Linked DNA regions of Caenorhabditis elegans. Changing the gene in region 2 together with the main gene of any one other region gives a genetic interaction. Each region holds a gene or a part of one and is shown on either strand. Other genes may lie near its edges.

The links. A genetic interaction does not mean that the proteins touch.
Region 1: of mom-5 (region 2) and B0545.4, changing one enhances a phenotype caused by changing the other (phenotypic enhancement), as found in Caenorhabditis elegans (one large-scale study listed by BioGRID).

Annotation. Positions count from the first base shown.
Region 1 is NC_003282.8:108,526-111,263, forward strand, and holds B0545.4 (HAT C-terminal dimerization domain-containing protein), read right to left. Parts: upstream 883-2,738; coding exon 529-882; downstream 1-528. Other genes in the region: tpa-1 (Protein kinase C-like 1), read left to right, coding at 1,477-1,626.
Region 2 is NC_003279.8:9,963,729-9,970,565, reverse strand, and holds mom-5 (Protein mom-5), read right to left. Parts: upstream 4,987-6,837; 5' UTR 4,926-4,986; coding exon 4,453-4,925; intron 3,960-4,452; coding exon 3,589-3,959; intron 3,525-3,588; coding exon 3,386-3,524; intron 2,846-3,385; coding exon 2,604-2,845; intron 2,492-2,603; coding exon 2,371-2,491; intron 2,024-2,370; coding exon 1,805-2,023; intron 1,380-1,804; coding exon 1,232-1,379; 3' UTR 529-1,231; downstream 1-528. Other genes in the region: tsp-7 (Tetraspanin), read left to right, coding at 73-217, 320-453. UniProt on the Caenorhabditis elegans protein: Receptor for Wnt proteins.

The DNA.
Region 1 (2,738 bases), on a different chromosome or scaffold from region 2:
AATCTATCGCTACATTTGAAAAATTTGTTCTACAAATTCAGTACTAAAAATTACGTCAATGCCGGTTTGTTATCGAAATTTGAAAAATTGCGCAAGTGGCGCAGTAGGTATAGTATATAACAGGGGTGTGCGGATAACCGATTTTTTCGGCTAACGGATAAATCGGCTAACGCCGATTTTTTAACAATCGGCTAACGGCTAATTTCAAAAATTTCGGCTAACGGATAACTCGGCTAAAATTTATCGGTCGAATCGGCTAATTTTCGGCTAATTCGGCTAATTCGGCTAATTTACAAGAAAAGTAGTTAATTTTTCTGTTCTAGCTAATTTTGGGAGCAAGACAAGGCAGTGTACCCGACTTCCATATCTGCAGTGCATAGCACTTGAAGAACGGATCGTCCCTTCTTTTTTAAAAATAATTTTTCTTTTCCGATACAGTAGACAATTTTAAAATAACAGTTTTATAAGATAGAAACAACTACAAGAAACACTAAGAAACAATAAGAAACAACAAAGAACAGTAAAAGATCAGGAGAAGGAAATATTTTCGAAGAAAGATAGTTTGTAACAAAAAAGACTATTAATTGATTTAATCATCGAAGGAAGTTTGACTTCCATATCCGGATTCATTAAACGAATGTTTTTGTTCAAAGTCAAAAGCATTTTGAAGTTTTCTGATGTCAACGTTTTTCGATATTTAGTCAGAATAGTTCCCGCCGTTGAAAATAGTCTTTCGACTTCGCTGGAACCTGTTGGGCAAATGACGAAGCGACGAGCAAACTGGGAAAGACGAGGGTATGAAGATTTACTCAAAGGATTCAACCAGTAATCTCTGGGAAAAATTGATTCTACTGCAGTAGAAAGATATCGGGTGACCTCCATTTTCACTGTTAAACTTTGATCAGTTAACGCTATATGCTTTCCACGTGACTTGATCTTCTCCTGCAAATCAATCCATTAAATTCAATTTTTTCCAAATTTTATTTACCTGAATGTAAAGCTCAAAGTCCGTTTTCTGAATTTTCGCAACAGGTTCGGTTACTTCTGATGAATCACCAAAGTCATCATATTCAGAATCTACGTTGCTGTATGGCTCATCGTCTTCCTTTTCGACGGCTCTAATAAACTCCAACACTTCATCCTGATCCGAGTAGATATCCTGAAAAAGTTGTATGATTTCACATGGTATTGTATCAACGTCATTTTTCAGTAATACCTTCCAGCGAGGATCAAGAATTGTAGAAAACTTCAAATATTTGCATTGCGAGTACTTTAGCCGAATTAGCCGATCGGCTAATTCGGCTAATTCGGCTATTATCCGCACACCCCTGGTATATAGGCTTGTCTGGTAATCTCAGCGCCTGGGTTCGAACCCGTATGGGGCTAAAATATTTTAACAAGTGTTTTTTGCAACTCATAAAGTTCCAGGTTCCCTAAAACCTCCTTATTTTGCACTTTTTAAATATTTTTCTTTAGAAATCCAACTCGGACGCCTCGAACTTCGACGACGACTTCACGAACGAGAAGGCGGCGTTGACACCTGTGCACGACAAGAACCTACTGGCTTCAATCGATCCTGAAGCATTCCTTAACTTCTCTTATACGAATCCTCACTTCTCAAAATAGTTGAAATCTCATTTAGCAGCGTTTTTCATTCGTTTTTTTTGAGTCACCACGATTTTTTGAGAAAAAAATCCGTGGATATATCCCTGGTAAAATCCTAGGTAGTTGACGTTCACGGAATTCTTGAAATCCATGAAGACTCTTCGCTCAAAATCTACTGAAAATTTGAATTTCTGGAATTTTTGTTTTGGAAAACTGGTATTTCGTCAGAAAACAACCCACACTGTGAAGACTTTGTAATTTTTTTAAATTTTTCTGCATAATATTCCCCGCCCCCGCAAATTTGATGCCACGTGTATAAAAATTCACTGATCAGTAAAGACTGCTTCTCCATATAGATTTTTTTTGATAATTAAATTTTAAATAACCCCGCCCCCTCCCTGGCCACGCCCATTAATTTGTATTTCATATCACTTGACATCTCTCCCCGATTTTTGTCTAATTTTCAACTTTTTTTTTACAATATTGAATTTCCCACGCTTTTTTGTCTTACTTCCATATTTTCTTTGTCAGAGCATTATTATATGTTCTCCAATTATACACATCGACCAGAGGTTTAGCAATTTCGAGAAAAAATTAAAAATAATAAATGAATTAATTTTTAAACATTTAATTCCTCGCACAGTCACTTTCAATAAAAAATCTAGTGCACTTGCACTAGATAATAATCCGTCAAACATCTAAATTTGTTAGATGGCTGAAAAAAATTTGGGCAAAAATAAAAAGTTGCCTAATTTTGTTGAAAACGGGTAATTCATGTATGCTGATTTCAGAAAATCTAGGTTTAACCCATTAAAAAAATCCCGACAATCCCCAGGGGTAACGGAAATAGGGGCAACGGATGGACCACACTCGGCATCACAAAAATGGGGGAAGTGGAAACCCGGAAGCTGGAGAAGTGTTCATTTACTATTAGTTCTATTAAACGGGAAACCATATAGGGAAATAGTATAATAAATGAGAACAGATAAATTAAATTGCTATTTTTTCAAATTTTGGTACTTATTACCATTAGTAAAACGCGATTTTGTTTTCCAAACCAAAATGATGATGACACATTTCTCATGATAGACTAATTTTCAGTTGTATTAAGTGCCCCCAAATAAAACCTTTTT
Region 2 (6,837 bases):
TTAGCAAAACTTCCAAAAAAAAAATTAAAGTAGAACTACAGCATTTAAAATTCAAATTAATTTCAATTTTAGTTGTTTGAATGTTGTGGAGTAACAAATTCATCCGATTGGCTCACATTCACAACAATTCCTGATTCATGTTGCATTGAAGAAATCGAGGGATGTGCTCGAGAGAATGCTCCACTCTTTGAGCCCGGATGCATTCACAGTGTCGAACGTTAGTCTTTTTTTTCCAAGAAGATCAAAGTGTGCTCTGTTGCACTTTCTCAATAGAGCATGATTGGGCTTATCGGAAATTTGATTGTTTTTTTAATTGCAGAATGGGTGCTCAAGAATGGAGCAATGGTCGGCGGAATTTGTGCAGTTTTGGCAGCAATTCAATTGGTCGGAGTCTGTTTCGCTTGTTGTCTTTCAAAATCAATTCTCAAGGATTTCCATGACTTTTATTATTAGTTCATAACCATCCGTTTTTCTTTGCAATCCTTATTTTAGGTTCTTTCAATCGCCGTGTCACAAATTAAACAATAATAATAATGTATAATTTATATATGAATATACGATGAAAAAGAAATTGAGGATGAAGAAAAATAAGCAACCGCATAAATAATGAGTAATAAATTCATAACTCTAAATTCGAGACAAAGACTGGGATGAAAGTGGTTTTACCCTGATTGGAGTGCTCAAAGTGTGAAAAAAAGTGTGTGAACCTTGTGCTGGAGCTGGTGACAACAGAACTTAAGAACATGAATAAACGAGATACATGAAAAATGGCAGCGAGAGAACTGATCTACAGTAACCTGAATTGAAGGGGGTTCTTTTTTGACTTTTCTCAAGCTTCTTTCTGCCCTTTTTGTCAGATTTCAATGTAATTCCACTCAAAAATATCATTTTTCACCATCTTTTCCACTCGTTGTCTCTCTTTTGCTATGTAAGAGCGCATCTTTGGGAGCCGGTTCTTAGAAATGTGCTCGTCGCAACTCAAATCAGGAAGCATTGAGAGACAACGAGTAGACGAGGAGAGTGTAGACACAGAGATGGATCATGCTCTGGGGAATGATTCTGTGAGAGGAAGGGGACCGATGGGCGCCGTCCGATGAGCAAGAGAGAGCATAAGAATAAGTCAGAAAAGTTACAAAGAATGAAGAAAAAGAAACATTTGAGTTGGTTGGGAAAAAAGTGAGAAAAGGAATGAGAATACATATAAATAGGATAAAATGACAAGAAGAGACTATCACCTCATATTAACCTGATCAACATGAGCAGGTACAGTAGGTGACCTCGAAGAGAGTGCCAGGTAAGCCTTGTGATAACTTGAAAGAGTTTTTGAAGAGACAACCCAAATGGCACAGGTTATACCAACAACCAATTGAGACACATATCTGAAAATAAGAACATTTAGGGGTTTCGAATCAAGATAAATAATTCATATTAACTAGACGCGAAATTATGCAGTCTCGGCACGATCCAATTTTGTCGAATATGCGCCTTTAAAGAGTACTGTAACTTCGAAGTCGCGTTGCTGCGGAATTTACATCGATTTTTCATGAATAGTTTTTCTTATGTTAGGCTTTTTGTGTTTGAATTGCTTAATATTTAAATAAGAATATTTTTTATCAAGAAGCGATGAAAATTCTGCAGCAACAAGAGTTTGAAACTACAGTATTCTTTAAAGGCGTATACATTTTTGCATTTAACAAACATTCGTCTTGTCGAAACCGGATGTCGCATTTTTGGCGCAAAAATCAGAAAATCAAATTTAGATTATACAGATTGAAATTTAACTGATTCACAGTTTCAAACTAACTTTAAAAGAAAAACAATAATCTCCGGAGCTGCAACTTTCGGATCCATCGGACAATCATCAACTGGATACGTGAAACCGAATAATTCTCGATCTTGAAGTCGAACACATCGATGATGAAGCCATCCTTCAAGCCAGGCAGGCATATTTACTGCCTGATACCACATAATTGCAGCATTCATTGCAGTTGGTAGAGAGTACATTATGGCGAAGGCACCGATTCTGAAAATATAATATTTGTATGATAATATGAAACGAATATCAGAAAAGCGATTCTTAAGTTTTTCTTATTTTGTTCGGTTCTTAGGAAATCCAATTTTTTCGTTTTTTTTTTCTGAAATTTTGGAATTTTAAATAAAAAATGATTTCCAGGGAATTCTCGGGTTTTAGAATAATTTATCAACTTTCCAAACTGAAATCAATATATCTACATCAGTAAACCTAGTTTGCTCGTCTTTTTCTGTACATGTTTTTCCAATTTTTCGTTTTCCAAAAATCGAAAGTATTTCTTTTCTGATTAAAAAAGCTCAGGTACTTTTGAAGATTTTCAAAAATTTGAAATATCGAACCTCAACATTAATTTCTCCAATTTACTGATATTCCTCTCAACATCGGCGTGTTGAAGTTTAATATAACTTCGAATACGGATCATTGACCAAATTCCACAAACGAGTAAAACTGCTCCGAGTGCTGCAAATAGAACATTTCTGAGAAGAAAACGAAGATAAATAACGATGGAACACACAACGAAACGAATTCAATTTCGGTCTTCCCCCACCATAATATTCACAAAAAAACTAACCCAACGATACAACGATCGGAGTGAAAAAGAAATAGACGAGAGCAGAGGGATTCAAATTTCCAACTGAACAGATTCCAGTAAATACATCTCCATCGACAGAATTTGTCACTAGTACAGTAACCGAGAGAACTGCTGGAACTCCCCAGCACATTGCGTGGAAGTATGGTGACAGAGCAGCAATTGATTCAGCTCCCCATTTCAGATTTGCCGCCAGGAACCAGGCTAGACACAGTACAAGCCACCTGAAAGAATACTTAGTATATAAAATATCATTTTAAAAAGGCTGATAGCTGTTTAAATCAAGATTAAAAATTTGGGTGTCGATTTTCGATTTTTCAATGAAAACAAAAATTTTCGATTTTTGTTTTTTTTTTGTTTGAAGAAAAAATACATTTTTTTCATGAACAAAATTTGATAAAAATTGAATTTTTTTTTTGATTTTCCGATTTTCCGGAAACGGGGTTTTTTTCATTTAAAATTTGGTTTAAAAAAAATATTTTTTAGATTTTTGTTACTGAAAATTGTCGAAAATCATAAATGTAATTTTTTTCTGAAAAATTACACTCGAAATTATAAAAATTAAAATTTTTATCAAAATATTCAAAAAGTTCTTTAAAAAAAAAATGTTTCAGTTGTCGTTTTTTTGTTGAAAAATGTGTTTGAACAAAAGAAAAACATGCCGATTTTTTTTCGAATGCACATTTTCAAAACCAGTTTTCTATTTGTGGTACAAAAAACGGTACTTTTTTCGTTAAAATACAAAAATTAACGAAAAAACTCACCACGCACAACTTGACATGAAGAAAAAGTAATGAACAACAGCAAGAGCACTACATCCAACATTTTCTCCTCCTTGCGTAACAAGTGTTGTTGGAGTAGATCCATACGTTCCACAAGCGAATCCATCTTCACCGACTACGCCTGTAGAAATACATTTTTAGTTTCTAAAAAATCTGATTTAAAAAAAACAGAAAATTCAACTCACCTATCATATAAACCGTAGAAATTGCTAGATAACAGAACGCGAGATACAAAATCGGTCGAACTGGATACGCGAATCGTGATAAATCAACAAGAAATGTGACAAGAGTGAATAAAGAGCACACGAAACATGCCACAGACCATGCTGCTGTCCAGATTCGAAGAATTCGTCGAACACGTCCATCAAACATCATTGGTACTTGATTGTCAGCTTCACATGTTAATGAACATTCAGGAAGGCGTCCACTGAGAAGAGGCAATGAAAAATGAGATCCGCTTGTTGTATGCATATGATGAGGGCATTTTTTTGGAGAAAGGACAACTTCGTTGGCAATTGTTGAAACACCGAATGTGACGTCATTACTACTTCTGTAACTTGAAATATTTTATATTTCGATCTACGGAAACTTGTTTTATTGTTCGATAAAACAAAGAATTTAGAAATCTCGATGTACATTTTTTTCGGAAAATTTCTAAATTCAAAAACTTTGATAAAAAACTATTTGACGCTTTGGAGTAGGAGTTTTTATGGGGCTCAAAAATTCGGAATAATACTTAAATTCAGCCAAACTTGTCAGTATCACAGCGGCCGTAAATTTAATTTTCAGAGAGCTTTTTTTTTTTGAAAACTCTTACGAGGTTCGGTCTTTGCAGGCCATTCTGAATTTATTATTATTTTTCTTTAAATGCAAAACCGATGATTTTAACTGAATTTACAATTTAATTTCTCGCTGTATTTAAAAAAAGGATTCTAGAACGGTTCCCGTAAATTTAAACTTTAATTCATGTTTTGGGTACTTTTGAAATTTTTGTTGTAAATATATATCAATTATAAATTCTTATTCATAAAATTATGCAGAAAACCCACTTTTTAGAGTTGCTCGACTCGCTGGAATTCTTGCCAACACACAAATCAGTTACTGGGAATTTGTTACAATCCAATTGATCTGGCCATTGAAATCCAAACTTTTTCATTAATGACTCGCATCCATTTTTTGCAGATAAACACAATTCTCGACATGGTTGAATTGGTTTTTCGAGTACTGTACAGACAGGTGCATAGACAGTACAAAGAAAGAGACGAATATCTTCTGAGCATTTAACTTTAATTAATGGATTGAATTGCGCAATTGCTGGACCAGCTTCAGATTGTGTTGTATGTCCGAGAAGATTTGGAAATACTGTTTGATTGTAATCCAGATTTTTGCACATTGGAATTGTAATATGTTCACATTTTCGAGTTGTTGAGAATCCATTCATCGATGAAATTGAAGTTGATGAGAGTCGTTGATCAGCTGATAAGCATCCGAATAAAAATAATATCAGAATATGTCGATGCATTGTAATTGATAGTTTTGAAGAGATTTCAGATTGACAAGTGTTAGTTCATAGCAGGATTCGTCTGAAAATATAAAAAATTATTAAAGAAATAGTTTTTTTGGTTATATGTATAGAAGAAGTTCAACATTATTTAGTTAATAGTTTGTGAAATGGAGAGAACAAAATTCTAGAAAAATGATTTTTGGCAAAATTTGGAAAAAAAACCGAACTTAAGTAAATAGCTAAAATCTTTTTCAGAAAAAATCGAAAAAAAATGTTTAGAAAATTAACAAAAAGTGAAATTTTTAATGAGTTGTTGATGTGGATAAACATTTTCAAAAAATTCTTCTAAACGGAGGAAAATGGCCAACAATTTTAGATATTTTACGAAAAATCTTTTTTTTTCTCGAAATATCAGAAAACCAACACAAATACTTTCCGGCAGTTGGCAAAGATGACACATTAAAAATTTTGGCTAAATTTAGGGATTTCTCTTCGAAACATTTTCTATAAACATTTTTTGGAAGGTTTTATTGGAATTCAAAATAGAAGACTCGGTCCATAAATTGACCTTCAATTGATGAGAAAACATTGAATTTTCAAAAAAAGTGAAATGGTGTAATGTTGACATTGGTTCCAAGTGCTAAATCGAATCAATGAATCGTGAAATTATAGTGAGAAACGTGGCAAAGAAAGACAAAGAATAGTAGATTTCGGTATCTAAGTGAATCTAATCTTTAGATTACTGTACAACATGCCTCTAATCTCTTTTTTGTAATACTCTCTCGTTACGCAACTTCCGAGAGAACGGAGCACACACACACAGTAAAGAATAATTACGGCTCGGAATTCGAGAGTAATTAATGATGATGATGAGCACTGACCTAATGAAAAGATCGAAAAAGAGTGAAGAGACACAGGCCACCTGCTGCTCGAGTGTCAAATGGGCAATGAACATGCAAACGGATGAGGGAGGAAGGATTCAAGAATTTTCAAACAGTGATTCATTTCGAAAATATTCTTGTTATTGTTTGGAGAGAATTGAGGAAAATATAGATGAGAATCGAATTGAGAAAAACGGGGACGATCGATCTGTAGAAGAGATAAGAGCAATGACCTAACTGGTAGAATTTTTTGGCATTTCGGAAATTAGTTTTTAGTTTTTAAATATTTAAGTTGAAGAAAGCAAAGAAAACATTTAAAACAAATTGTCTGAAATCAACGATATTCTTAAGCAAAAGGACGCAAAATATTGCACCAAAAATACGGTACCAGGTCTCGACACGATAAAGTTTTGTTTGCGCCTTCAAGGAGTACTGTAACTCGCATTGCTGCGGATTGTTTTGATTTTATATAGGTAAATTCATGGATTTTCATTGTTTTAATCAAGTTATTTAATAAATCAATATTTTCTATCGGAAAACTATAAAAAATCGATGGAAATTCCGCAGCAAAGTTTAAAGTTACAGTACTCTGTCAAGGCGCACAGCTTTCTACATTTATCAAAAATTTGGCGCGTCGAGAGGTACCGTATTTTTTGCTAAAAATCGCAGAATCGAGCCTGAAAATTATATAAATAATTTAATTGTTTTCGAAATTCAAAAAAAGATGCCAGAAATTTAATATCGACGAACTCGAGGAGCACATAAACATATTATTTGAACTTTTGAATAAACTTTTCCAACATCCGAACTGGGAGGCCGAGTTTCGCAATGTGAAGAGCCAACATACACGTCTCGTGCCGGAGATGGGTGTCAAATTCAATTCCCGAATCAAATCAAATGAACAAATAGGCCCGTCGTTTCGATGAAAAAGAACTGACGAGAGCAACACAACTGGGAGCTTGTGACCAGAAGAAAATGGAGCAAACGAGTGATTTGTGATTGATAACGGAAATGAAAAATGGACGCGGAATTGGAAATAGTGGAAAAGA